Alligator mississippiensis: one gene and its partner. The protein of the gene in region 1 binds, or shares a complex with, the protein of each later gene. Links are inferred from orthologs where the notes say so. Each region holds a gene or a part of one and is shown on either strand. Other genes may lie near its edges.

Region 1 (15,094 bases):
TTGCATTGATTAACATCAATCAGCAGCACACTATTAGTATAAGCAGAAACTAAGACTTCTAGTTTTAACTGTGATTTGCTAGTTTGAGTAGCAGCCAACATACCCAAGTTCACTTACACACATTTCACACTGATCTAGGCAAGAGATTCAAAAGAGGGCACGCCAATAAGATTCTCTTGGCCAATACCGATAGCCAATTATTAACCAGCCATATCAGCCAATACCAATCCCATAACCGATTTACAGGAATGCAGCCCAGCAGCTTGGAGAGCAGCGTCCTCCTGGTAAGTCTGTGGGGGAGTGGGGAAAAGGGGTACAGGGGGGGCCAGATAGAGGCCCTGGTGGTGAGGGAAGGAGTGGGGTAGGGACTGGGGTGGGGGCAGGTGCTGCCCACCCAGGGCGATTAATGCAACCCCAGGGCTGAGGGCAAGACGGAGCCACGGGCAGCTCATCTGGGTTGCACAGGGAGGTGGCAGCTTCCTGCCACTGCATGCACCCCCTGAGGAGGCATGGGGGGGCATGTGCCCCCAGATTTTCACAGAAGTTTAGGGCTGGAAGGGACTTCTTGAGATCATTGGGTCCAGCCCCCCTTGCTCTGGGCAAGAAAGACTGCAAGGGTCAAATAACCCCAGCAAAGTGTGCGTTCAAAAACTACTCACAGAGGGACATGAACCTTCAGTCTCTTGATCCAAAGGCAGATGCCTTATCCATTGGGCAATGTGATCATGTGTGTTTGTGGATGGGGTGAGGGTAGGCTGGCTGCTGCGGGCTCAGGGCCAGGGGCTGTGCCAGCCTCTTCCCAGCAGGGGCACAGCTGTGCGAGATGCATGGCAGCAGCAAGGCTGGAAGGGGTGGCTACTGGAAGGGGTGCTGGAAAGGAACTGGGGGGGTGGCCTGCGGCTGCCCCAGAAGCCCTTCCTAGCATCACCCCTGCTTCGGCCCCTCCCCCCGCTGCCCTTCCCCTTGGGAACCCTGCCTGCCACTCCCAAGGGAAAGGAAGCAGAGCAGAATGTCCCGGGGGGGGGGGAGGGGGGCTTGGGGAGCTACGGCCACCCCAAAATTCCCATAGCCACCCCTCCCAGCACCACCGCCCACCCCACGCAGCTGAGCCCACTCCGCTCACAGCCCCTGGCCCCAAGCCCACAGTGGGCAGCCCGCCTCTGCCCTGTGCACAAATCCGGGGGCCACATGCCCCCGTGTTTCCCTCTGGGGGTTCACACAGCTAAGATCCACCCCCGCCCCCCCAGCAAGCTGCCCATGGCTTCGTCCTGCTCCTAGCCCCAGGGTCGCATTCACCGCCCTGGCTGGGCAGCATCTGTCCCTGTCCCAGCCCCACTCCCTTCCTCACCATGGGGGCCTCAGTCTGTGCCTCCCTACACCCTTCCCCCCTACAGACTTACCACCAGAATGCTGCTCTCCAAGCTGCCTAGCTGCATTCGTGGCTGCATGCATGCTGCAGCGGTGCACATACACACAGCATTTATTGGTGACATTATTGGCTACACCAGCCAAAAAAATAATGTTAATTTTCCTTTTAGCACTGCTGATCCACTATGCAACCAATATATCATAAAAAGTTAGGTTTGGAAGGCACCTCAGGAGGTCACATCTAGTCCAACCCCCTGCTCCAAGCAGGACCAGCCCAGCCAAGGCTTCGCCTAGCCAGGTCTTAAAAACTTCCAAGGATGGAGACTGCACCACCTCTCTGAATAACCTGTTCCAGTCTTTTACTACCCTCCTCGTGAGAAAATTCTTCCTAATATCTAACCCAAACTTCTCTTGCTGCAACTTGAGACCATTGCTCCTTGTTCTCAGTGCACCTCCAATTCAAACTTCTTCTCCACACTCCACAAAGCTAGCTTGAATTTTCAGTAACAATCATCATCTTGGCTCACAGCAATCTCAGCTACACCTTTTCCTTACATCACCCTTTTATTACTGTTGTAGGCACTGCTGTTTATAGGCTGCTTCCTCATCTGATCCCCTGTCCTTCCAAGACATCTCTTGTAAAACAGGGTGCTGTGACCCTTAAGATTGTTAACTCATCAGCAAGCATTAATGGGTACAGCAGATTCGCAATGAGAGATCTCTCTCTCACTCTACCACACAAGTCTACCTTACCAAATTCAACATGCCTAAGAAACATGGGCCTCAGTGTACTGCACAGACCTACGTCTCCATTACATCTGCCTCAGCCAGAAAGACAGAATGCGTTTCCTTCTGCTTACCCAAGAGCTGGATGACCAAGGTTTAATTTAGAGAGGACTGAACTAATGTCACCAGCTGGCAACTTTGTGGACCTCAGAAGGAATGTAATCATTTCCAAGACAAGCAGGCTGGGCAGTCCTGGATGCCCTGGGAAAAGCTGCAGCAAGGAGTGCCTTTTTCCATCTGTAATTGTCCAGAGAGTGCGATCTTCTCTCTCCAGTGCACACAAGCATGTACAGTTGTGGATTCACAAAATTAACCTGTTCCAACACATTCCACATGGGCCTCTCCCTTAAGATCACTTAGGAAATGAAGCTGGAACAGCCTAATACAGCACACCGAAGTGGAACTGGAGCATCAGTCTAGCATGCTCCCAAGTGTCCCGTAATTTGCACAGGCCTCCAGTCAGCTTCTGGGTAGAATTCCACACGTTGCTTTAATCTACGAAGCTGGCAATGACTTGGCGCCTAGTTCGCGAGGCAGCACCTCCCCCCCGTCCCCCAAATGACAGGCTGTCACGGTGGAGATCTGCAGAAGCACAAGCTGGAGCAGCCCAAGACAAATACGACACTCCTGCTGGCAGGACATTCCCTAGCGTTGTCTGCCAGAACTCAGATATCAGTCTTCTAGCAAGGCAACGAACTCCTCATTTCCCCCCAGCTCTTCTCCAAAACTGTTGACAGGGCAGGACTATGGTCTATACGCTTAAGGACAGTCTTTTAACAGCTTTTAGTGTACGGGACAGGAGTCCAGGATACATTTTAAAAATCTGAGTAACTTTCATGAAACCAGTGCAATTTCTTCTAGAGTCTTATTTTTTTCACTGTTACCCCAAAACTAAGCAGTCCAGAAGTGACACCTTTCCAATGCTGATACTACAGCAACCTCGCTGAAATCTTAAACTATTTCAAGGGCTTGTTTATACATAGCTGACTGTTCAGTTATAAAACTGATGCTTCCCTTTCCACATGCATGATCCCAGGCCAAAGCCGCTAGCCGCTGCTGCTTGTTACAGATCCATATTCACTCTTCTATACGTCTCCAATGCATGAAAATTCAGGTTGCAAAAAACCCACCAAGAATCATCCTTTGTTATTCCACCATCAGGCAGAAAGAACAAGTCATCGCACTGCCCGAGTCTCCAGCTAACATTCTGGATGGCTCCATTTTGCACAAAAGTAATCAAAGCAGTCTGGAAGCTGCTCCCCCACACTGTGACAACCATGTTTCCTAGTTTAGGCTTTGTTAAGCACAGGACTGCCCAAAAGTAAACAGAAGCGTCTTAGCACTAGGCCTGTCTTCCATATAATTTCATATTCCAGGTAACATTTCAGAGTAACTTCTTGCTACTTTAGCAAGACCTTAGTTATTAAGGTCTGTAACTCTTAAGTTTCCTCAGCTTACTACTACCATTATGTTTTTATTCAACTTAAATGTTTTTTAAAAACCCACTTAAATCACCAGTAAGAAAACCTAAAAAATACCAAACTAACCAGAAGAGAATCTAGAGTTATATTAAAATAACCATACATGGCATAGCAGTTTTCTCATTCTGAAAGACCACGATTACATCCAGTTATAGCCCTTTAAAAAGAAGCAGACAGCTGGGAAGCAGCTAGGTGGCTACACATCTATCTGACAGACATTTTGGCAGAAGCAGGAAGTTGTTGAGTGTTTCAGGGAAAACGTGGCAGCAAAGCCTTACTTGCCAGAACAGGTTTGGGGGCTGTAAAATGCCAATTCAGGCTGTTTCCCCTCTGTTAAAAAATAGCCTAACCACTGTGCACCAACACAGGGTGTAGGTTACGCACACAGGAGAAAGAAGCACATCTAAAGCTACAAACTGTTCAAAGTCTATTTGTCCTACAGAAGTATTTAACTTCATTAAGATAAGAGGTGCATTGATACATCAGTCCCATACTAAAATGGCACTGATATACAGAAAAATTACTATTGGAAGTTGGCTTTTTTCACCTGATGTGGCTGTTAAATGCCTTGTGCATGTGCGCAGCCACAGCATGCATGCGGCCAGGAGCGCAGCACAGCAGCTTGGAGAGCAGCATTGGCTTTTAAGTCTGTGGAGGGGGGGTGCAGATCGAGGCCCCCACAGTGCAGGACAGAGTGGGGCCAGGGTAGGCACTGCACAGCTGGGGTGGGGCATGGGACAGAGCTGTGAGCGGCTCATCTGGGGGGCACTGGGGTGGCTCCCACTCTGCATACACTCCAGAAGGGCATGGGAGGAGTGTCCCCGGATCTGCGTGGGGCTATTGGGGGGGGGGCGCTGCAGCCACCCCAAGGTTTCTCATAGCCTCCTCCCAATCTCCCTCCAGCACCACCACCGCCTGCCCCAAGAGCAGTCTGGCCCAGCCCCCTCTGCCCCCAGCCCACAGCTGCAGCCTGGCCCACCAGACAGATCTGGGAACACATGCTCCCCATGCCCTCCTGGGGTGCGCGCAGTGGCAAAAGCCATCCCCCCTGCACGAGCTGCTCATGGCTCCGTCCCATGCCCCGCCCTGGCTGAACAGCGCCTGCCCTTGCCCCACTCCCTCTCACCGCAGGGGCACCCCCCCATGCTCCTTCCCTCCCCCCACCTGACTTACCAGCCTGCTGCTGGTCTCCAAGCTGCTGGGATGCTTGTTGGAATCAGATCGGTATCAGCTGATATGGCTCCTTAAAAATTGGCCTTTGCTATCACCCCAAAAAACCTCTATCGGTGCACCCCTAATGAAGATAGTACAGAGACCGTTCACTTTGGTTTTCTTAATGTCTTCATTACAAGCAGCACCTAACCCAAGCTATGGGCAACTCTGACACAGCCGTACACTTCGTACACAAGGTCCGGCAGTTAGCGCAGACAATGGTGGGGCAGAGGGGAGGCAGGAGGGGCGAATGCCCCAGGCTGTGCAATATGCTCCCCAACCTGACACACCCTAGTAGCAAGGTGCTGCACTCACCTGGCACCTCCCTATTGCAAGATGCTTCTCTCCACCCCACCCAGAGGCCCCACCTCTGTAAAAGCCAAAGTATGCCCCTATCGAATGCTTCCCTGGCTGCAACCTGAACAGCAAAAGTAGTGCTGGAGCCCACAACTAGCAAGCACCAATTACCCTAATCAAGGTTAGAGCAGGACCTACTTGCACCCGTGTCCGGGCGAACCAGAAAGGAGGAACACACTTCTTTCATCATCTAGTCACCAATAATAAGACTGTCTACAGCAATCTCTCAGTAACCTAAATTCAGTGTTTAATTCTAGGTATTAAGTTACCAATGTTCGTTCACCGACGTGCACAAAACAAAGCGGCCTCAACTTCAAATACAGAACGTCCCCTCCTACGGCTTGGAAATCTGCGACAATTCACACTCAAACGCAGGAAACAGCGAAATCAGCTCCGAGAACCACCTCAAGTCACTACGTCGCATCTCATCACCTAATCCTACGTAGCACTGAAGGGCTGTCTGGTTTCCCGGGGAAGGGCGGTCTTAGGGCTAAAAGACAACTGCAAGGGCAGGGACCGTTCCTAGCCAGCAGACGGTGGCTCCAGATAGTCCCTTCTCAGCGCCAAGCCCAGTTGCTTATATCTCCCTTTGGCCGTCACCCCCGTCTCATCGCTTCTCTAGGCCAAAGTCCCGTCCAACAGGATGTGACACGCTCTTCAGCGGGGAGCACGAGATTAACACCAGCTGGGAAACCATAAAGCAACTCGCTATGGGGAGACCCACAAAAAACTGAGAACAGACAGTGTTTCTCTGTACTCTAGAAAACGAGACACCTTCAGAGACGTGAGCACCCGGGCGCTGGCTCCGAAGCAGGAAGGTAGAAATAGGAGAGAAAAAAGAAAGTTCACGGACATCTGCCCCCCAGAATATCCTTGCGCAGTTTTGCTCGACATCTCATGTGCAAGCGTCCAAAGCACTAAAGATGGCAAGAGGAGTAGGGCTCCCTTCTAGTCCAAACCCCTGCCTGAGGCAGGGTCGCCCCTGTCCAAACCTGCCCGGACGGTCCAGCATCGACAGACGCGCGGGACAGCAGAGCGAGCCCAGCCCCGCCGCACCGCGCCGCACTGTCGTCCACGAGCCGTGCAGTTCGGAGCGGTAGCGAACAGGACGCACGATCGCCCTGGGGCGGGGGCAGATCTCGCACCCGGTCCCGCTGCTTGGAAACCGGCCTGTGAGCGCCGACTTCTGGTCTCACGCACACCCCTAAACACACACACACACACACACACTACACCCCCCCAATACACCTACACACACACGTATGCAACTACACCCCTAGACACGCCTATACACACACACGTATGCAACTATACTCACACACCTGCACCCCTAAACACGCCTATACACACACGTTTGCAACTACTCACACATATGCACCTACACCCCTAGACGCGCCTATACACACACGTATGCAACTATACTCACACACCTGCACCCCTAAACACGCCTATACACACACGTTTGCAACTACTCACACATATGCACCTACACCCCTAGACATGCCTATACACACACGTTTGCAACTATACTCACACACCTGCACCCCTAGACACACCTATACACACACGTATGCAACTATACTCACACACCTGCACCCCTAGACACGCCTATACACACATGTATGCAACTACTCACACATATGCACCTACACCCCTAGACACGCCTATACACACACGTATGCAACTATACTCACACGTATGCACACCTCCACCCCTAGACACGCACTACACACACACACGTATGCACACCTCCACCCCTAGACACGCACTACACACACACGTATGCACACCTATACGCACACACACGGCCCGAGCGCAGCCCGGCCCCCCCCCGGGGCAGGCGGCCCCACGGGAGAGGACAGGACGGGCCGGGCCGGGCCGGGCCGCGCTCGAGGACACGCGTGCCCGCCCCCCCCGCGCGCACCTTCACGTCGTCCTCCTCATCCTCGCCGGCCCAGCGGTCGACGCCCACGCCCGGCACCAGCGGTTTGGCGGCCGGATCCGCCGCCTCGAAAGTGTCGGCGTCTGTGAGGGGAGAGAGCGGGTGAGCGGGGGCAGAAGGAGGGGGGCGGGGGGCGGCGGCGGGAGCAGCACCTACCCCACGAGTCCGCCTCGGCCGCCATCTTGCCTCGCGGACGGGGGGGGGAAGGGAGGAAGAAGGGAGCGCCGCGCCGGGCCGTGACTCGCCGCGCGCCGCGCGGGGCATGCCGGGATAGCGGCGGAATGGCCGCCGGGGGGGCGGGGCTAGCGGGGGGCGGGGCGGTCTCGTCTCTAGGGCCCTCCCCCTCTGCGGGGCTGAGGCGGCCTCCCGTGAGGGGGTCCCTGAGGCTTGCCCCCCCTCTCCCCCCACTGAGGGGGGTTTGTCGGGCTGGGCCCCCCCCTCAAAAGGGGTCTCTGAGGCTCCCCCCCCCACTGAGGGGGCCTGTGGGTCTGGGGCAGCTCGTAGCCATGAGCGAGCTGAGCCCCTCAAGTTTTTAGATTTAAAAAAAAAGTAACCCCAAATCCACGTTTCCTGTGCTTTAAAATGAAGCGCCACTAATATAGAGATGCCTATATAGCAGCGTTTCATTTTAAGCGTGGATTTTGGGGGGGTTAGTTGGGTTTTTTTAGCCCCCAAAATTGGGATTTTTTTATTGGCGGGGTCCCGGTTTCCTGGCGGTTACGCGGGGTGGGGCGGGCACCCCGGGGCCTTCCCTCGGTTTGGAGTTTGCCACCTTTGTTGAACGTCCCCGTGGGAGGCGCAGGCAGTCCCCACAGGACAGCTGTCCTTGCCCTTGCCAGGCCAGGCCAGGCCGGGCCCGGCTGGGGGTGATGCCGGTGGAGCCATGGAGAGGGTTCAGGACGGGACGGGAGCGGCGCATCGGGAGAAGAGAGGACAGGGCACCCTGCCGGAGAGGTTGCACCCCAATTTGCCGAATCCTGCGCTTGCTTCCCAGGTCTTCCGAAGGTTCACGTCACGTCTTCCAGGTAGGGAATCAGTTGGCCTGAGAGCGCTGAAATGGGGTCGGCTCGCCTGTTTCGGGCAGCCGGGCCAGCAACCCTTGTTCGTGGTGTGGAGTCTCGACCGGCCCTCTCCAAGCATCCTGTTATTTTCAGTCCTTCGTCTCCGGGTGCAGGCTGGGGTCCACGGCTGGGAGCTCCGTCATAATTGGGGTCTCCCTCCCCTTTTCCGGGGGCGATGGGTGGGAGAAGCAGTTCTTTCGTGACGGCGGAGGGGGGCTTGCCGAGACTAAAATAAAAGACGCGGTGTTCAACCATGAATCTCCTGCCTAACGTGACCAAAAGGTTCAGCGTGGACGCGGCGTTCTGCTTTGCCCCGGGAGAAGCTGCTGTGGTCGCAGTCTAACGAGGAGCTTTAGCTACGACGTGGCTTCGTTCACCTGCACCTGCACCTGCCTGCACCTTTCCAGCGGTGCTGTACTGACCGGGGTGCGTGAGCTAACACCGTGAAAACACACTGTTTTTACCCGCGTGTCCTTTGCACGTGCACCTTTACAGCAAGGGGGTAAACCGGGGGGTAAACAGGTGCATTCATGTTAGGCGCCTTGCAGTGTTTTAACTTCGCAGGCCTGGTTTAAGTGACATATTTTGCGTGGACAATACTGTTGGTCATTCTCACGTGTGTTCAGAGAGAGAGGCAAGGCTCTGATCATCTAACATTTGAAAACTATAACTCCCTTGGTCAGTAATATGTGGTGTATATATGAATAATAAACTTCTTAATGAAGACAAGATCTCTGAGTCTGTGCTGGTTCCTCCTGTCCTCTGGAAAAGACAGAGGCAAAGCTCAAGTACCTTAATATAATAAATACATAAATGAACTTCTAGGAAGTAAAACAGTAAAGTGCTAGTCAGCCACTTCACTCTTACCCTTGCTCTCTCATATGCAAGTCTCCTTGACTGTAAATATGTTGGCAGTATAAGCCTGCAATTATAATGGTAAAGAGATGCAAATGTCATTCAGGGCACCAACACACAATGTTTTATTGCGGTTGAATATGCCGGATTATCTCAATCTAGAGGAAATGAACACAGAATCAAAGGAAGAAGTGCTAGATATGGGATGTAGTAGGATAAAAGGTACCAATTATAATTTAAACAAATATAGCCATTAAATGCATGAAAAGAATAGGCAAGTGATCAGATTTAAATTCATACTGGCAAATTCACCCATAGTGCAAGCAGCTGTATCTTGTGTCATCTTTCCCAGGAGTCCCACCAATTTATGGCACATTAGATTGAAACTTGTTCCCTTGTCACTATTGTCCTTTCTCCTCTTTTCCTAGGAAAGAAACATGGAAACACAAACCATACCCATTTTGAATGTGCTTTTTCACTGAGCACATTAACAGTGTTCAAACAGGGCAAGATGTTGAGAAGAGCCAACGGCATTGATGGTGACTTAAACTGTTTGTATTTGTACCAGCTTGTGCTGTCATCTAGTCAGTTCCTTTAACTAAGCAGGGCTGAGCTGGATTATTGCTGATACTTAGGTGGAAGACAGCCAGTGAATACATGGGTACTGTGGGAAGTTGTGTTGGTTATTCAGTAGCCGTTACTTTTCCTAAACCAGGGGTAAGCAACTTTCTGGCTCACTGTGGGGCGGAACAACACACCCCATGTCAGGTGCTTGGGCAGGTGCTAGGACCGGCTACCACCGCTTGTCCTTCTTGTGTGGCAGTACATGGGGAGCACTTGCAGGCAGAGCCTCGCACTGCTGAATGCCACCAAAGCCCCACATCCGTGGGCTGGATCCAGTGGTTTTGTGGGGTTGCCAACCCCTGTCCTAGACCATGAGTTCAATGCTGACTCATAGCACTACTGTGCTTCTGTAGGCGCTGTCATTTGTGTGACATGGTATTTAAAGTGACATAGTGTAGGACTTGAGGCAAGGTCTCCTGTCTTGACTGACTTCAAACAGTGGGGTATCTGCCTTCCTAAATTCCTGAAATGAGTTTCAGTTGTCTCTTGTAGTTCAGAGTTTTATTATTTTCCATTTTAAATTGATGGCAGCATGTTGATGTATGTTGTTAAACAGTTGTTGCAGTGACCTAAAGTTGGTTGGACCTAAAGCTAGCCTGCTGAGCCCTAGCAAAATATCAGGAAACTTATAAATGTAAGATGATATTTAATAATCAAGAGTATCATAAATAATTGCTTAGCTGTGTTAGTCTGAAGTCAGGCAGAAGGCAGGGGAGGCTGGCACCTTACAGACTAGCTGGTTCAGAGAAGCATGTGGTTTCACAAGCATTAGATGCTTGTGCCTAATAATTGGTAAGGGGTGTGTAAAGTGATTTTTTTTCTCAATAACTTTTTAAATTTTCTAAGTATGTAAATTTAGTTTTAAACACATTGACCTTGAATTCTGGTTTAAATTATGCTAGGAGTCATTATGGGGTTTTGTTTTGTTTTTGTTTTGTTTTTTACTCAATTGAGTAAATATTGAATTATGGCTAAATATGAGTTAAGCCAATTAGCAAGCAAAGCATCCTTTAATAGTAGCAAAAAATGAACTATATTCTTTACCAAGTCCTAGAAATAGTATATAGAAGCATCTGGATATCCATTAAAAAAGATATCTGCAATTACAGTTTGGCAGCATATACTGCCAGATTTTTTTTTGATTTGAAAGTTAAAGTTGTTGAAAGGAAAAGTACCTCTCAGGGTCATGGAGGGATTTCATATTTGTAATGTCCTCTGAAATTTTGAACATCATGTCAAGGGAATTGTAGTTATACTATTTTGTTGTATTGTCTTTTTCTGTTTTTATAAGTTATTTTGTTTTCTACCATAAGCTGCCCTGAGCCTTTTAAAATAGAAGTACCAAATATTATCCTTAGTAGTTGGGATGGAGAGGTATGTCCTAAAATAAAATAATAGTCTACTCCACTTACCTATGCAGATAAGCATATCCAATCAATGTATACGCATAAGTGCACCATTCACTTAACTGCATAACATAATGGCAACCCCAATTTGTTGCCTGTTGCTCATGTTCTAACAAATATCTTTCATCTACATCTTGGTTAAGTGCATAAACCAGTTAAGTGCATAGCATCTTTCATCCCTGCTAACTACTTTGTAACTCAGTTAATCACATACCAACTTGTCAGTGTATATTTTGTAACCGATTTTACCACCTGAAGAGTGCCTGAAGCAGTGTAGGGAAAGCAGTGGTCAAAGGGCTGCTAGCAGAAGTCGGTGTTGAGACTGCACTTAAACAGAGTACGCTGAGCGTTCAGAGAAAAAGTTTCTCCAGAGCACTGTGCTGTTGCATAGCTTCAAAATTTGAATTTGGTCCAGAATTTGGACTTTTTTTTCCAGCTGCTCACTTAGTCCCCCAAAGCTTAGAAGACTTTCTACCCAGTCTTTTGGTTTGCCCTATTGTGTAGCAGAATTAAGGACCAGCTGCAAAATAGACTCTCTCAAAGTTTTGTGGTGGCCAAATGCATGGTTCTGGCTGAGGAATATTGCTGTTTTTGTGTTTAAAAGTGTCCAAAGAAAGTCTGTATTTTCTTCCAGTGTCTCAGAACTTTTGTGAGGATGTCTTTTAATGGTTCTTAGTTGTTAACTGGAGAGAGACATTTCTAGACCCATGGGGAGCCCCTTACCCTAGCTGTGCATCAGATCAGGATGGAGCGCAGGGTTGGTGTGCCAGCACATGGCCCTGGGCCCAGCATGTGTCTCTAGACCTGGACTTGGCCCATAGCCCTGAAGGCAGCGCACAAGGCTGGACCCAGCATGCAGCCCCAGTGCCAGTGGGACAGATTGCGCCCTGCTGCCCCGTGCCACCTTGGTGCTGGTGTACTGAATTGGACCCAATCATTCCATATTAGGCCCTACTGCATCCCCAGTACGCAGCCCCCAGGGAGCTCAAACCTCTGGTATTTATCTGTACTCCATGCTAAACATTCTTTTTCCTTCTTGGGGCACGTGTATTATATTCATGAACCTGTTATTTAAGGAAAATATCGTATGCAGTTTCAGGATGTTATGATTGGCGGTCCTACCAGGTATGCCTATATCTATGGCTGCCTGATGTCCCATTCCAAGGTCCTTCTTTCAGTTAGTAACTGCCAAGTATCTGTCAGACCCACTGCCATTCTAGTGCTGGTCAACTTAGGAAATGACAATTTTCTATTAATATTATTTAATTCGTTAGCACAAATGACAGGAGACTAGGCTGTGGAGGGAAGGATTCCTACACTGGTACATTATGACAGCTGTGTTTTTGTTTTGTTTTTTATTCCTTTTTTAAACTTGGAAATATATAAAACTACATGAAATAAAATTATTAAGGTTGTAATTTCAAGCTGTCAAAAGTAAGGAAATGCTAGAATTAGTGTCTGTGCAACCTTGTCTCTTCAGTCTCTAATGAAAGGGGCTATGGACTGGAGGCAGAGAAGGGACTGTCTTATGTCTAAGGCAGTTGCTGCACAATGGGCAAATTGCTTAAGTAAGACTTAGTGGGTGATCACTAATTATGTGCTCCTCATTTTTCTTGGTATCCTGCTTGAAAGACCCTAGGGTCTGATTTGCAGAAGTGTTGAACAGTCATACCTGTAACTGAAGCCAGTTGGAGCTGTGCTTTATACTATATGCTTTGAAAGATTTGGTTCTAGATATCTTAAACTGGGCACCCAAAGTTAGTGGCTACTTTTACCCCTCAGATCTCAATATATCAGTTCTTCATCTGTAAAATGGGGTGAAATAGCACATCGTCATCTTGCAGGCCGTTGTAAAAATAAATTCATTAATATTTATGATATTATGGTGATGAGTCCCATAGACAATTCACTAATAATTCCATCTTCCATACCCAGGTCTGAATAGTTTTGGACACCTACTGAACAGGAAGAAAATAAAATATTGAATGGCTGCATGTCAATTGAGCACCATCCACCATGTGTACTGGCTGAGCAGGGATCCTGTGGGGGGGAAATAGTGTTTGATTGTGTATTCAAAAACTGTTCCATAATGCATGTGCACAAAGGAGGCAAATGTATAGGTAGCCTTGATTCTGGCATTTCCCAACACAGGTGCTTGCCTTTGCAATATTTAATAATGTTGTTTTGATGAGTTTTTTTTTGTGTGTGATTATATATATTTTAAGCAGCCTGACTAGGTTGAAATGACAAGGAGTTATTTTTAGCTTAATTTTAAACGGAATCAAATGTCCTGGGGGCACGGGCTAATGGCAGTGGCTGACTAGTCCCTACAATACAGTAATAAATAATAAAGAAATTAAGTTTGGGTTTTTTTTCTGCTCATCACAGTCTACCTGCTGGGGCTTATAAAATAATGATTCCTAAAGGACACTATTACTGACCACCTGTTTTCACTTTCTTTGGTTTTAAAGTTGGAAATAGCTTTCTCTAACAAGTCTCTGTGTAAGCACCCCATCAGGGCCCTCTACTAGCCTCAGTGTGAGGCTAGAAAACCAGTCTGAAACCAAGACTTATTTATCTGGAAAACCTTGGAAACCTTCCACAAAACTATCTAATCAAATGGTTGCCCCAGACACTGTCAGAGCGTGGAATGACTCCTGGAAATCGCTCTTTATGCTGCATACTTCTTTACACACTTCTTGATGCTTTCTTTCACAGGTGACACAAAGGAAATACGAGGTAATGAGCATGCCAAATCTTTATCATAACTTCAGAATCCTTTCAGGAAGTATAACACACCATGTGGCCATATCCTATCATGGTATTTTCACATACCATAGGACCAGGTTGAATATCCTTTCTGCTTTTAATGAGTTAAAGTAGGTAAGATGGCATATTAAATTTGTGCACCATTAAAAACAGTAGTTCCAATCAAATGAAATCTCAACTAACATAGAAAGAAATGGTTGGCCAGAGCTTATCTGTGTGATTTTGTGAACAGAGCAGATTGACAGTTTGACAGAAGCTGTCCTGCCAGAAAATCCTGATTTGAAAAATCTAAATGTTTCAAAATAAATCAACCAAATGGGGGGGGGGGGGGGGGGGGGGGGGGGGGAATGATGACAAGTTTTTAACTCTTGCTAGAATTGGGGGTGAAAGAAAAATCTGAACTGTCAGAATTTCCTATGAAACAGAAAAAAATGGGTTATTCTTCAAGTTTTGTCTGAATTTGTTTCCCCACTGATGTGCCCATAACCCTTGAGCTGGAGTGCTGATTATTTGTTTATTTCTTTATTTTAGCCAGCATGTCTGGTGGGGTTTCTCATGCCTCCCGCCCAAAATTGTAAAGGGCAGGGCAGTCCCTTTTTTTCCCTTCTTGCCAACTTTTGCTATGAGTAAGCTATGAGTTTGAGTAAGCTGCTAAATCTTCTTCTGATGCCTAAATAGTTGTAAATAGCTTTAGATAGTTCAGCAATTAGTCATAGGTTTTTCATAGTACTTTTTCCTGGAAAAAAATCCATTATGTTTTTTCCCTGGGAGACTATTCCAGTACTGGCCTTGTGTCAGATCAAAAGTTGCACATGAACATTTCTCTAGAGGCTTCTTAGTTTTCTTGTTACTAACGGATTTGTAGTTGGAACTCGGCATTTTCCAGAATATTTCAAACGAATGACTGGTTTCTTTATTAAATCAGAAGTTTATAATCCACTCAATTTGATCGGGCCTCCTGTGCAAGGATTAGGGGGAAAAGAAAGAGGAGATTTTATCCCAGGATGTCCCTTAGTCTCACAGGCTAGGCTGGGGAGAGGGCAGTTTCTTTCACAGAAGAATGGGTAGGAAGTTTGCGCTCCAGTTATATTGAGAGTCTATTGCACAAGTGGAACCCTAACAGAGAACCAGGGTTAGGCTGATGACATATTTCCACCCATTGACCTGTCAAAGGGAGCAATAATGAGTAGTACTGTGCACACTGATCTACTTGGATTCTTGTCTCATTCAATC
Region 2 (15,245 bases), on another chromosome or scaffold:
TTTCTGTCTGAGGCAGTCAAGATGCTTTTTGAATATTAGGAAAAGGAACTTTTCATAAGGAAGTAGCTAAAATAGTCTTCATTAAAACAAAAACAAACTTATTGTGGGAAAAAGGAATATGCATGTTTAACATCTGTAAAGTACCTTTCAGGAGCCACAGGCAGGCAAGATTCTTTGATTAGATGAGATATCTTTTATTAGACCAACTGAGTAGTTGGAAAAAATTTCTTACAAGCTTTTGGGTGCAATCACCCTTCTTCAGGCACAGGAAGTCTCTGGTGTTCTGACACTCCAAGGAAGTCTTCAGGAGCCACCTGAACTTGACACTGTAGTCTACAGCTATATATTACTTATATATATATATATATATATATATATATATATATATATATATATCAATCTCCCTTACAACTTCTCATCTCTTAGGAAGAAAAGTTGGAATTAAAAATCTGTGGTTCTCTGAGGCACTGGCTTCTTCATTCCCTTCTTTGTAACTAGACAGAATGTATGATTGTATCACTTATTTTCTCCATTCCCATCTGTCTTCCCATACAGCTAGGTCTAGTGACATTCCTGAGTGCTAAGGCTGGAATGCTGCTGTGAGTTTCCCAGAGTAGTGCAGATAGTGCCCACTGATCCAGGAGAATGAACCAGGTCAAAGGTGCAAGGGTCACGCCTTGTTTTCTTTCCCCTACGGAGAAGCAAGATGCTCTGAAAAATTGCCCAGTCCACTGCAAACTCTGCACTGCTACAGATGGCAGGACTAATATATCAGAGTTTGCAAATTATTTTTTGTAATGCTTAACTTAAGAATTCAACTGACAACTAGCAAATAAAAAGGTCCTTTCAATATCTACAATGCCTATAGCTCAAGGGTTTTGGTTCTTCTCCTTCCTCAAAGTTAAAACAGAAAAATTATGCTATGCCATGCCATATGAGGTCTTGATAAGCAAAGCTAGCAAATGGTTAATTTAAATGATATAAGGATTCCAATTCAGCTGGTGGAAAGTATTTACAGTAAGTATTTATATACTCTGGTATTTACAGAGCAGAACTGTAAAAGAATATGAACTCAGTGCTTTCACAAAACATTCATAGTGGATAGTATCCACTGTAGGAGTGAGTCTTTTGCTAATTTCCATTATTTTATTATCTAATAGCTATCATCAGGGCAAATCCATCCTATCACTAATGGTTAAATGGATAAGAAACTGTATATTGGCACACACAGAGCAGCACTGCATCCACCTTTGTATTTAGTGCTGAACAGGCAAGCTACGCCTAACTGCAGTGCTCCCCAGCAGGATACAGAGGTGGTATGCCCATGTGCATCTAAATGCAACAGTGGAGTGTTAAAACCAGACTAGAAAACAGGAAGACTATTCCTTATTTAAATATGAGTGACAAAAGTTTGAGGGTTTGTCTCTCGTATATCACTTATTATTCAATACCTCTGAAGAACTGAGCTGGCTTACCAACTACCAAGAGCTACTGTCAATTAATTAACACTAACATTAATTTGCTAACAAACTTATGTACAGAATTACATAGAATTTTCATTTGCCAAGTTCATTATATCAATGATTCTGCTTATGATCCAGGACCATATTTTAAAATAGCTCAGCAGCCATTTTACTAATATCTATGTCTAAGGCAAAGCTTTGTCTTAAAGGTAATGTTTATATAAGAGGCTGATTGTGCTAGCTTTAATGGTACCGGGAGTCTATCAATCAAACAACAGAGATAGCACTGCCACGCACTAAAACATCAAAGCGCCATTAAATAATAAACTTGGCATAATGTTATAAAGCTTGAGGATTAACGTTTATATCATTTCCAGAAGAAAAACAGAAGTTTTACTTCTTTATGTTTATGCCTCACAACCAGTCTACTATGACTTTACCACCATCCTCTCCTCGGAGAAAATCATTTAACTTAAAAAGAGTTCTTAAAATAGTTATTTGAGGAGATGTAAAAATATGCCCAGTGCATCAGTTAAATATTTGCTTCAAACTTTACACAATGTAACAATTTAAACCTACTGAAAATTTATAGTCTGTATTCCTTATCTTCATATACCTTTTCTTGCAGTCCACTAGTACATCATACAGCAGTCTTAGAAGTGTATGCTTTTTCTCTGTGCTGAGTTTCCAATCAGAAATCCATTTTCGAACCTATAGAGAAAAAAATTCATAAAGATGTGTTGCTTCCCTTTGAGAAATACCTCTTAGAATTGCAAATACTGCCCGCTTCGCTCCAAGATGTTTAGCAGGAGAAAAAAAAGGATGGAAAGGACCTATCCTACAGATCTTGGTTGGATATTTATCCTAATGCCCAGAATTAGAACTTCTGTGAACTGAAGTCTCCAAATCTGTGCTTTGTCTTCTTAAGAGGAAGGGATGGATATACTGAACTCTGCCACCAAAGCAGAGGACAGAGAACTGATGCCCTAATGCTGGTTCCAGCTCTTACCCTCCATCCCAGCCCAACAAAGCAACAGGCAGATCCTGTGAGGTATTTAACATAAAGGAATTATTATATGCTTAGATTATAAAGAACTTTTACAAGATTAGACACCTACGCTACAAAATTTGCCTTTAATTCCAATAGGGCTTGACATCTTTCAGCAGCCAGAACCACTCTGTATTACTTCTAGATACCCTTTCATAAGAGAGGAGGCGTACTTAATACAAAATAACTAGTGACAACCAATTCATTACCTGATCTAGTTCAGTTGGAATGTACTGAATGGCACCACATGATGAGGCCACTTTAAGAAGGCTGCTGTAGACTGTATATCTCACAGGAGTGTTCTTATCCATACCATGAAAGAGATTGCTGAGTCTAAATTATAAAGAACAAGAATAATTTAAGTCTAGTGAGTATGGCTAAGTGTTAATGAATGGTATGCACAGACAAGAGTACTATCATATAAAATTTTAATCATTGTACAAGCATCACCATTTCAATTCTATGGCAGATTTTAAGAGGTCACAGTTTCAGAGTGCCTTCCGTCAAAGGATCTGGAAGCACTTTATATACTGTGATTAAGTTAGCTACACAACAGCCCAGGGAATTAAACAGAGCTCTCTCATTTTTACAGAGGGGAAGAAGGGGGCAGAAATCGACACTGCCCCTCCATACTCAACAGAAGCCAGGTCCCACAGTTTTCCCACCTTGTCTTTTAAACATAACAGACACTAAAACATGAGTCTCTTAAAAAAGTGATTATTTTGTAAAATATTGTGTTCCACTGGCTTCACAGGGTTACTTACAGCTGCAGCCTGAGACATGGACGCTCGCCTTCCCGAAATTTCACCAACTTCTCACAAAGACTTTCAATCAAAGCTTCCTGTTTGTCAAGCTCCAGGATAAGCAGCAGAGACACCACACTGTTCATAACACTCTCAACATCTACACCCAAGAAGAAAAAAAAAGCAGGCATCAATTTAATACTGCAAACAACCATCATAATTAAGAAACAATTAATCCTTTATTGCTGAAGAAGTGCTCCTGCCATTAATGCTTGTTTTGTCTTAGCAAGACATACAATAAGAGTGTAAATCCAGGAAAGGATTTTAAAAAATAATTAAATAAGTTCAGCTATTTATTAGACTGAACACCAAGTGTGGAGAGACACCAGCGTTTCCACTGGAAAGTATACCATCATATAAAATTTAAATTGTTGTTTAAGCACCACCAATGACAGCAGCTCAAGGTCACCCAGTTCTCTGCCAAAACATGATTTACTTTATTTGATTTATATGGTGCTCTACACAAAAAAGGCTCAGGGAGATTTATAGTAAAAAACAGATTTAAAAAATAAAATAGTAAATGGCAAACCAATCCCCTAAAACTGGGGTTGTCAACCAGGGGGTACTTGAGAAGGCCGTAGGGCAGGGGTGGGCAATTATTTGGGGTGGAGGGCCGCTTACTGAGTTTTGGCAAGCCATCGAGGGCCGCATGACAGGCAGCAAGGGGCAGATAAACATTCATTTTCTACATTGTTTAGGGGCCCTGCGGGCTGAACAGAATGGCTTGGCGGGTTGAATGTGGCCCATGGGCCGCATTTTGCCCACCCCTGCCCTAGGGGGTATGCGCAGGTGGGCAGGGACAGAGAGCCGCCACGCACCATCCTGTGCTGCCCACCTGCTGGACACGGGAGTAAGCTCCAGGTTCAGCTGCATGCTACCCCCTACCTTGTCTCTCCCCACCACCTGCTCCGTGTCCTGCTGCCGGGGGTACACTGATTCAAAAAGGTTGAAAACCCCTGCCCTAAAACTAACCTCAAATGCTTCTGAACCTGATCAACAATTACCACATATATGGAGAGAAGAGAACTTGATCTGTGACATTAAACTGACATCCCACTTTTGATTCAAAGGAAGACAGTGTACATTTCAAGGCCTGTGTCCCTATCTTAAGAGCACTCAGTAACTTATCAAGACTGCCTTAGCTTGCGGATGAGGAGCTGGTCAATGCCTGCTAACCAAACCCAATGGAACCTTATATCACAAGAGTCCATTTCATTTCCAGGACACAGAGCTTTCTCTGGAGTCAGTCCCAGACAGTGGAACACAGTCTTGACAGAAACAAGTATCAGTAAGTACATGCTTATTTTTAAAAGCTGCCAAAACTCTACCCTGAGAGAAGGAGATAAAGTTAGCTGCCTGTGAAAAATGTTATTTTGTGTAACAGTCTGAAGAGGCCCTCAGACTTCATGGTGGTGAGGGTTGCAGAAAGACCAAGACTGGCAACGAAGGTGTGAATTCACATTAAATTGTGGTGGCAGTTTTGTGCCAAAACTATATACATGACAGAACAACTATGAGCCAAAATCCCTGACCCAATCTATTCTCACAGTTCTTAATTTCAAATCCACTGATGTCAAATGGGAATGCTCCAGCAATTTTTATTGATCAGGCTAATCTAACTTTAGAGTGTGCTCAATTCTGACTAATTCTTCATATGTGGGTGTCATTTAGATGCAACAAATCTACAGCCAATATTGAATAAAATCCTATGTTTGAAAGGGTGAAGATCCATCTAGAGATGAATGACAGCATGATAAAATGGAGAATGACAAAAATGGAGAGTAGCATGTCTAGCGTGTCCTCTCTGAGAATAATTGGGTACCCCCTAAAGTCCCACATAAACACCTCCTTAGCTTCACTATAACTGGCATGACAGGCTGTGGTGAATAAATGTTATCTGCAGAAAGTAAAGTATTATATGCTGATCTTCTACTGAACATAACCAGTTAATGTACATGTTTTATGCAGTGAAGGTCATGGAACAAGTGTCCAAAACTTGCCAACAATTAGAGATGTTGTTAGTACCAATGACTTTTGTTGGCTTCTCCTGCGCATTCATTATGCATATTTAAAGAGAGGAGGGCTAAGATTGGCTCAACTCCCACAGACCACTATACCATAGACCAAAAAGATTAAACACTGCCTCAGATGGCCACACAATCTATTTTTTAATTACTACTAGCCAAGGAGAGGGTCACTGTGCTATTGCATCCTTTTCACTGTAGGCAAACACCTTTAGTACACAGAAATTTTGAAGTTCCCAATGGGTTTCTTTCATTTTATGAAAAAACCTTGATGTTCTTACATAGCTTGGTCCCTTTAAAAATTTAGGGCGGGATTAAAAAAAAAAAAATCCAGCATTGCCCTAACTCCGTTCCCATTTAGGTAAATATGAGTTCTATGCAATTTTCAAATAGAAACAACTAGACCAACACTGAAAATGCCATCCTAGTTCACACTGGCCTATTGTTTGAGTAGTGAAGTAATGAAGACACTTACTCTCGGACCATCTGCCCTGTAAGCTTCCCATGCAAGTCTGGGGTGTATCGCAAGCTCTGTACTTCATCATAATGTTCCTGAATATGCTTGCCAAAAATGTCCATACCTGGACTTCTAAAGACACAAACCTTTATCATCATCCTTCAGACATACATCGCAGGCTTCAATAATCTGAGCTAAGTCAATATGAAGTCCACCTTCAGAATTCTCTTCAGAAATCTCAGCACCTTTTGATTTTAGGTAAGCTCGAAGTTCTGCCGCCTTTTAAAGGAAGAAACAAATGCAAGCAGTTCAAACTAGTAATAAAAACCCTATGACACTGACTTTATTAGAAAAAAGCCTAATTGTTCACATTTTCATTCTCTGTATGGGCATGTGTTAGTGAGAAAAGTATGAGAACAATATATACTAAAGAAAATTAGTTACTGGTAAGTAATCCCTTAACTTTCTGTAAGAAATGCAAAAACCTAGAACTCCTGGTTCCAAAATGATACCTTTTATTAGACCATCTGAGCTTTCTGTAAAATCCTAATGAAGGCAGTTTGGAGTTTTTTCACGAATTAGCAAGGTAAATTAAAAATCCAGTGACCTCCATAAACTTAATGACAGTCCTGTTAATGGCAAATCAATGGAAGAGACTTTTCTGTGCTTTTTGGCACTGGCAAGGCCTCAACCAGAGCATGCTGTCCCTAATTCAAGAAATTTGTGGAGAGATTGGAAAAACTCCGGTGGAGAGGGCCAAAAATGTTTAGAGGCCTGTGAAACCAGACTCATGAGAAAAGGCTTAAAGAACTAGGGTTATTTAGTTTGGATAAGAGAAGAGGGGGAGGGGAGGAGGGAAAGGGAGTAGGCTGGGGGTTGATAATTGTTGTCAAATATGTGAAAAGGGATTATAAGAGATGGAGGCGGGCTCTTTGTGGCTGCAGAGGACAGGACTATAAGCAACGGCCTCACACCGCAGCTGAGAAAGTTCAGGTTTGAGATTAGAAGAAACGTCCTATGAGGACGATTAAGCATTGGCACAGGCTACCCAGGGAAACTGAAATCACCACGCCTGGAAATTTTCAAGAGCAGGTTACTAAGACGCTCGCCCGCCTCGCTTCTATGACACTCGTGCTGAGCTCAGGAGCCATCCGCCCCCGTACGCGCGGCCGTCAGGGCAGTTGAACAGCCCTCGAGCCCTCCCCGCGGGGCCCAAGGCGAGGGCGGGAGGCGCGGAGCAGCTGCCCCCTGCCGGCTCTGCCGCGTCCCCTCCAACTCGGCCGCCACCCCTCCCCGCGCCGGACGCTTGCGTCCCTCCGGAGCCGGCCACGCCCCTGACCTGGTCCTCCTCGGTGATATCGATGAAGGCTGGGACGCTCATGGTGGCGGCGACCGCTGGCTTTACCACCTGGACCGAGCACGCCGCCCGCACCGGAAAGAACGGGTCGCTTCCGGTGAGCTGCACACCTCGCTTCCGCTTCCGGGGTACGGGAAGGGGAGGACTGTTCTGACGCTAAGTACTGCGCGCGAGCGTCCCTGCCCAGCGTTCATGGGCGCATGCGCAATGTGTCCCTCTGCCAGGGCCGGGGTGTGCCGGGGCCTCCCTCTGCGCGAGGCACTGCGCGCTGGAATGATGCTACGACGTCTCCTCACGTCGTTGGTGCGTCACGTCAGCACGCGGCGCCCCTTGTTCTCCCGTCTGGGTTGCCAGGTGTGCGGCAGTTATCGTAGTTGGGCCTACTTTTCACCCTACCCTTGCACGGTGTACAGTCCGGCCTAGAGAAAGTGCTCAAAATGCCCCATAATTTTTGATGTTACAGGGGTTTAGGTTGTAGCCGTGTTGGTCTAAGGACATAGGCAGACAAGGTTCCTTGGGTGAATTTGATATCTTTTATTAGACCAACCCAAATAGTTGGAGAATAGTTATTAAGCAAGCTTTCGGGTTCAAAAACCCTTCATCAGGCTAAGGAAGTTTCAGCAGTTGGTGTGTGCTCTTTGAACCTGAAAGCTTGCTTAATAACTATTCTCCAACTATTTGGGTTGGTCTAATAAAAGATATCAAATTCACCCAAGGAACCTTGTCTGCCATAATTTTTGAGGCATCTCATTGATGTGTGCAAAACTGAGGTAGTCTCAGAGAGTCTTAACTTACATTTGGTTTGCTGTCTTTCTTTGTGTATGTATTTGTGTGTGTATATATACACACACACATATATACACTGTGGTTCACTTGACAAGCCAAAACACACTTTGACAGTTAAAGTATTTTAGTCCTCTTACAGTTTGCCACACACCCATCACCATTCCAGCGCTTTTGCTTGTCATCATATTTGTCCTTGCCTTTGTTGCCATCCTCACCGTTGTCCTCATTGTTCTCTTTGGAGAGCTTGCCTATGAAAAGTCTTTTCTAGTCCCTTTTCTACCATATGAGGTCCACCATCTCTTTCTCTATGATTACCATATTTCCAAAATCAAAAAAGAGGACACCAGTGGGCAGGAGAGTGGAGTGGGGTTACATGATTGGGGGCTGGGGAGGTGGCAGCGATATGCCTGTGCCCTGCCTCTGCCCCTCACTCCTATGCCCCCCCCAGGCGCTGCCGGTGCCCCTCATTCCTAATCTGCAGCACCCTGCCCCACAGCCCTGTCAGTGCTCCTTACTCCCAATCCAGAGCCCACTTTCCCCCCAACCCTACTGCCCAAGCAGCTCCTGTGCACGTGTGCGTGCACACACACATGCACACACTTACTTGCTGGGGCCTGCACGTAGAGCACGTGACCCCCCACAGCAAATCACTTTGCCCACTGCTCCCAGCCCCAAGCATCCAAGCTGCTGGGAAAAGAGGAGGCAAAGCAAAAACCTAGACCTTTACTTGCATTTTAAAAACCCGCCTGAGCATTAGGACAGGGGGCCAAAGAAGAGGACATGTCCAGGAAAACCCAGATGTATGGTAATCCTACTCTTTCCCATCATCCTCTTCTGTCTTCCTGTAGTACCAGTACATTTTACTCAGCCCCATTTTAATACAGTCCTTGATTGTGAGGTCTGAGTGCCTATGTTTGACTGCTTGCCTAGAAATAAAGAAATGCTTCAATTTAGATGACCCAATTCTCACTCACTGGAGGCGTGCAGTGAGCAATATAAAGTAAATAAGACTTATTTGCATAGTTATTTGTGTACTTATTTGCATATTTTTCAGTGTGCAATAGTTTTTCAGCAAATACAATCATTTTGAGCTTCCAATATGATAATTTCATATTTAAGACCTGGCAATGCTGAAGAGAAATTAGCAGATTAGCAAAACTTCTGTATCTGAGTCAGTCTGAGATCAAAGCAAAAACCACTAGAACTATTGGCATGCAAATGAATGTGCTAGGGTCTATACGTAGTTGAACCCCCCCCCCCCCCCAAACTAGGCAAATGCAGTAAAAAATATTGTCTTTAGTTCCACAGTCATTACTCTCATTCAGATTCGTAAAATAAGATCTAGCCTTCCTGAGTCTCCGGTGCTTCACTAGGAGTTATTTCTACATCTGAGTTTATACTCCCATGCCTGAATTCATATTCCTGTACCTGAGTGAAGGTGTTTAGCTAGAGCTAAAAACAGCTTATAAGTTTGTGAGATAGAAGAGAGTCACTCCCAGGAATGGTAACAGCAACATTGCAGAGGCACGGATTGTTTGAATAGTGCAACATCAAGACTCTTCAAAAGGAGAGAGGGTTGTTAACACCTAATGAGTGGAGAGAGATTAGCAGGAATCAGAGGGATGATCATGATCCATGAAGTTAGCTGATTGTCTCAGCTGCTGCCTGAATAGAAATGCAGCTACTGGGTAGTTGGTTTTAAAATTTCAGTGGACCAGGGATTATTTAGGGTTTTAACTGCACCATTGCACCGCCCCCTGGATCCACCCTTGGTCTGTTTCAGGTAGAAGGCAGAGGAGACTTGCACCTTATAGACTACCATATTTTACCGTGTACAAGTCTATGTGACATATAAGTTGATCCCATATTTCTTATAAAAAAAAGTTAGGATTTTTGTAGATCTGGTGTGTAAGTTGACACCGCCTCACCACATACACCTCCAGGGGAGGCATCAGGTGCTTGAACTCAGCTGTTACCTTATCCCAGTGCTATATAAATGTGGGTCAGTGATGGCCGCTGTGGCCAGAGCCTGTGAGCTGCAGCCACAGCTGGGTGGGCAGCAATGGAGCTCAGCACTGGGGGCTGTGAGTGGCTCCTGGCAAGTGCTGCTGCCACTCTGTGCCCTGGTGCTGTTGGCAGCAGGCAGCAGTGCTGCAGCTCCTGCGCCATCAAGTGGCAGCTGGCCAAGATCTACCCACAGGACAGCCACTGGGCTGTGGGTAAGTGTCCCTTGGCCAGACTCAATGGGTGCAAGGTTTGGGTGCCCAGCCTGGCTCTGGGGTATTAGACAGGGGGGAGGCAGGAGCCTGGCCTGACCTCAGTCAGTGCCAGGGAAATTCCCAGACACCAGCATGCTGCCTGTCTGTGGGCTGGGTACGGCAGGGTGCAGGGTCCGGCTGAGGACAAATGAATTTTGAAACACAATATGTTTTTATTTCAAAGTATTGACATAGTGCATAAGTCGAGATGGAAATTTAAGGGTAAATATTTTGGTTTCAAATATCAACTAATATACCATGAATATGGTAGCTGCATCAGAGAGATGCAGCATAAGCCCACTGCTCACAAAAGCTGATGCTGTACATCTGATATAATTAGTCTATAAGGTATAAATCTCCCCTGCCTTCTCTCTGGGCTCTTCCCCTGGTGTCACAGGCCTCAGGGGGCCTGTAACCACCTTAACTGCAACCTTCCATCTCCTCTTGTCATATGCAGTCTCCTTTTACCTTTTGGCATCTTTGCCTATCCTGTTCAGATCCATTTTTATGTTATCTTCCCATCATTGCCTTGGTTTACCTTAAGGTCTGATACTTGTCTTTGGTTTGGAGGCCCTTAGGCTGGGGTTTTCTGCTTAGTGGGCTTCTTATATTTTGTATCTGCAACTTCCACCCTTGTTTTTTCAAGTCATTTATTTCTGGGTTCTCTGGCCCCTCTTGCCTCTGAGGGAGGGAGCCCTACATTTTGGAGGCTTGTGCCCACCCTTCCAAACTTCAAATAGGTACAGTGAGGAGTTTTTAGATATAAATTGGAACTCATGCAGTCAGGTTGAACAAATTACAGAGTACAAACTTAGGTGTCCTCTTTTCCATTTTAATGGATTAATAGCAGCTACCTGAAGAATCTTTTGTCAGTAGCATCACAGGTGCTGACTCTGTGGGTACCCTGGGGCTGAAGCACCCAGTGAAAAAAATCAGCGGTTGCTCAGCACCCACGAGCCACATTGGGTGAGCCAGGTTGAAGAACACTGACTTTTCTGGGTGTGCGTGAGGCTTTGTTCAGGAACGCAAAAAAACCCCAAACCAACCCCCCCCTCCCCCCCCCAACAAACCCGTCAGCAAAAACCAAAGCCTATGAATAGCATGACTTAATTTTGAATTCTCTGCAATATAACTGCAGAGTTCAAGATTCTTGAAAAGGCAGAACAGATTTCAGGCAGTCACAGCTAGTCATTGTAACAACTCAGGCTGCAGAGACAGAAAATTACTCCTCTACAAAACCTACTTTTTATAAATTGCACAGGTAACAGCACAATTCTCTGATTTATGAGCTTTTTGGTTTGATATATCATTAAGACATATTCTATATGCAGTCAAGTTGTTGCAGTAATACAGATTCGTTCTGACATATTTACTCACTGGTTCCTGCATAAATTACACTGGTAAGTAGACCGGACTGCTTTACTTGAAAGAAAAAAGTGTTTAGGTACCTATTTAGTATTGCTTGGTTTCTTTATCTTTTAAATAAAACTGCTCATCTCTACAGTCTGTAAAGTCCAGTTCTTGGCCTTTACTCTTTGGCAGTTTCCTTCTCTCACTTCTTGTCTTTTCACTACCTTAATTATATGTATAATTTTTTCAAATTGTTTCTGTTTGAGCGCACATATATTTTTGCCAACTGCAGTTGCAATGTTTAAACAGCAGTTTCAAGTAGTTTCAATGTTTAATAGTAAGTTGTAGCTGACAAAACAATACTTCTCAGTACAGAGGTGCAAAATTAATTCCATATTTCCAAAGCTGAAGGTTATGTATGCAGGATACCTCTGTAAGTATATAGCAAGGTCCAAATTTTAAAATGTATTTAGGTGCCTAAATAGGAGGTAGGTGCTTAAATCCTAATGATTTAAATGGGACTTAGACACTTTTGAGGCTATGGGCCTGAGGGTGACATTACACATTGCACTTAGACCAAAGTAAGGGCACTTAAAACATAAGTATCTACACGTTAAAACTAGTTAACTCATGTTAAGTGCCCCCTGAGTATCTCAGAATTATGCCACTTCAGGCATGGGTTAACTCTGGGCCATGCTTCCCAACTTGTTAGAGTAACTTCAATCTGCTCCATGGATTTGCAGTTTGCAGTCTTCCAGCATCCCAAGATGTACTGCTCCCAATCCCCCTCACTGTCCCCCAGAGCAAGGATAGAGGTCAGGTGTTCCAGCTGCTAGCTATGTCCCTGCTCACCAGCCCTCAAGTGGTAAGACAGAGCAGAGCAAGCAAGAGATAGTACTGCCCATAAATGCATGACTGCCCACAACGATTTCTAACTTTAACACTGCTTAACATCCCACAGATTTAGTAGGTCTATGTGTAATGTATATACCTTCACCATAAGTTACTTTCAATTTAACCCTTCCTAGGGTGACATCCTGGCCTTGAAGTCAATGACAAAACTCCTCTTGATTTCATCGGGCTGTTATTTTGCCTCGGTTTTTGATAAACTTCTGATTCATTTGGCCATTTTCCTTATTATTACTTTGTTACTGCAGTCAGTTGGCAGTTTGTGTATTTTTAATTGCACTGGTTACTGCTCAGCACTACTGTATGACTATGTAGGTATTTGGCTCCATAGACATTTAAAAACAATCTTATGAAAGCAACACGTTCCGTTGAACACAAATTTCTTCCCCTGAATGAGAGAACAACCTATGTGTGACAATGTCAGTCAAATAACAGCACAGTTCTGAGAGGCACTCAGATTTGTGACTTCCCAGTTCTGGAAGTCAAGTGCACCTCTGGAAGGCACCCAGATATTATGAGTTGTATGAGATATAGAATATTTGCTAACACATAGAAGAGTGTGACAATTAGCTGCAAACTCAAGTTAAGATCTATATTTGTACTGAAACATTCCAGAGCCCAGATGTTAACAGGGCTTTTCCATTTTGTTCTAGTTTAGGGGTGTCCAATTTATAAGCCCCCAGGGGCCACAGGCATTGGAGGCCTCACAAGTGAGCCACTGGGTTGTACAGACACTCCCCCACACCCTCCTGTTGCACTGTACACCTGCATAGGCACCTCCATACTACTGCACTGGGCACCCAACTCCTTGCTACACTGCACAGGTACATGAGACCCCTGCTGCAATGCAACGGTACATGAGCACAATACCTTCCCCACTCCCTTCCCCACTTCAACGTGTGAGTGTGTGAGCATGATTCCTAATAATGCTGCAGCACATGCCCTCAGTGGCACTCCTCCTACTGCTGTAGTACATGGGTGGAATTGCCCACATACACTGTCCTGTCCCCCCAGCACACATGGCCCTATACTCACTCTCAGCTTGCTGCACTGTTTGCCACATTGCCCTGCTCCCTGGGGTGCTCCCTGGGACACCCCCAAGGCAGCCAGAGGAAGGAGGGACAGCCCAGGGACCCCGGCTGTTGTTGTTGCCAGAGCAATATAGGTAGGCAGAAGTCTGAGGGGCACAACTTACTCCTTACAGGCTGCATGTAGCCCATGGGCCACCAGTTGGCCCATGGGCCCTATTCTAGTTCATTCCATTATAAAGATTTAAGTTTTGCTTCAGATCAGGCCTCAAAGCTTGAACACCTCTTAAGTGCTGTGGGGAGCAGACCAGGGTTTTGATTCTGGTCCCTTTCTAATCTATTCCAATAATTAATTGTAGTAAAAGCTAACTCAAAAATGTATTTTTTCCAGAAGCTAGCTATTGTATTTTTCCTTGCATTGGATGACTCTGATACATGGTGAGAAAAGGACAGGAATAATTAAACCCAGCACTCCAGAAGAATAAGTAGGGAGGTGACATGTTTAGCTCGCAGGACTGAAATTGTAAGTGTCTTGAATTCTAATCCTAGATGAGCAAATTACTTGTCTTGTGAACTTTGGCAAGACATTCGGTCCGCCTTTGTTTCAGTTTTCCTATCTGTAAAATGGAGAGAATAATAATGTCCATCCCTCCCCCCTTCATAAATATTTGCAGATCTTAAAATTATATCTGTATTTTCATATCTGTAGTACCCATTTTTCATGGTGTAGAAAGGAAGTCTGAAATGTTTTATCTTTTCTTTACTTCAATAATAATGAATTGTTTTCTGTTTTTTACAGTCAGGGTCTTACCTATCTTATTGACAATTGGAGAACTACTAGGTTCATGATATCATAGGTAACTTTGGATTTAACCTTACCTGAGAGAGAGAGGGGATTTTTAGCCATACTGTTTAAAACATTTTGTTTTTAGTTAGTTGTTGTTAAAGCCTATTTAACTTAAACCCCTGTAAAAACAAGAAAGGTCTCTTGCCAAACATTCATGGCATGCCCCTTCTGTTAAGGGTTGAGAAAATTTCCAGTTCACATAACTGAAATATTCAAAAGAAATCTTCAGCAAACTAACTGAGACAAGACTTGATATTCCTGAGTTTTCTAAAGTACAACACATTTGTGGGGTAAGGGAATAAAACAACCAAATCCAATTTTTGTTTTTTTTCTCCTGTTACTTTTTTAATAAACATTTTTCTAATAAGTATCCACCAAAGTAGGAATTTCAAAGTGCTCTCAAGTTACTTAATCACTTTTGAAAATCCTCCCCTAAATTACTGGAAGTAGCACCATACTATAAGCTGCTTCCTGGCTTTCATTGCACTTGAAAAAAATGAGGTTTGGAAAATTGCAACATGCTTAAAATTCCGTTATACCTTCTGTCTGCAGAAAGCGCAAGAACACAGGCAAGTTTGTCAGATTTGCTTATGGAAGGAAGGGACATCACTTCCTCTACAGAAGGCCTGTGTGGTTGGAGAGGGCAGGACTGTTGGACAACTGTTCTCCTAATCTTCAACAACAACCTAAATACTGTGGAATCCTCCAAAACACAAGAGGAAAGGGTTTGGGGAAACTGTCCAGTAGGAAGGACCTAGGAGGAGCTGTGCTACCAACAGGACAGAAGGGAACAAAGAAGCCAAGAGCCAGCATGAAGGTATGGAACATAAGCACTGGAGTAGCTCATATAGGCAACTCTTGGAGCGTGAGATTGACAACTGGGTTCAAATCTTTCCAGAGTCTTGTTTAATAACA

Evidence for each region.
Region 2: EIF3J (region 1) and EIF3M share a complex: the UniProt entries of both Homo sapiens proteins name them as parts of the eukaryotic translation initiation factor 3 (eIF-3) complex. The link is inferred for Alligator mississippiensis from reciprocal best matches to the Homo sapiens genes EIF3J and EIF3M.

The regions. Positions count from the first base shown.
Region 1 is NC_081834.1:1,711,414-1,726,507, reverse strand, and holds the start of EIF3J (eukaryotic translation initiation factor 3 subunit J), read right to left. Parts: upstream 7,410-15,094; 5' UTR 7,328-7,409; coding exon 7,303-7,327; intron 7,230-7,302; coding exon 7,129-7,229; intron 1-7,128. UniProt on the Homo sapiens protein: Component of the eukaryotic translation initiation factor 3 (eIF-3) complex, which is required for several steps in the initiation of protein synthesis.
Region 2 is NC_081825.1:205,261,522-205,276,766, forward strand, and holds the start of EIF3M (eukaryotic translation initiation factor 3 subunit M), read right to left. Parts: upstream 7,245-15,245; 5' UTR 7,177-7,244; coding exon 7,135-7,176; intron 6,075-7,134; coding exon 5,942-6,074; intron 3,415-5,941; coding exon 3,276-3,414; intron 2,845-3,275; coding exon 2,721-2,844; intron 2,175-2,720; coding exon 2,080-2,174; intron 1-2,079. UniProt on the Homo sapiens protein: Component of the eukaryotic translation initiation factor 3 (eIF-3) complex, which is required for several steps in the initiation of protein synthesis.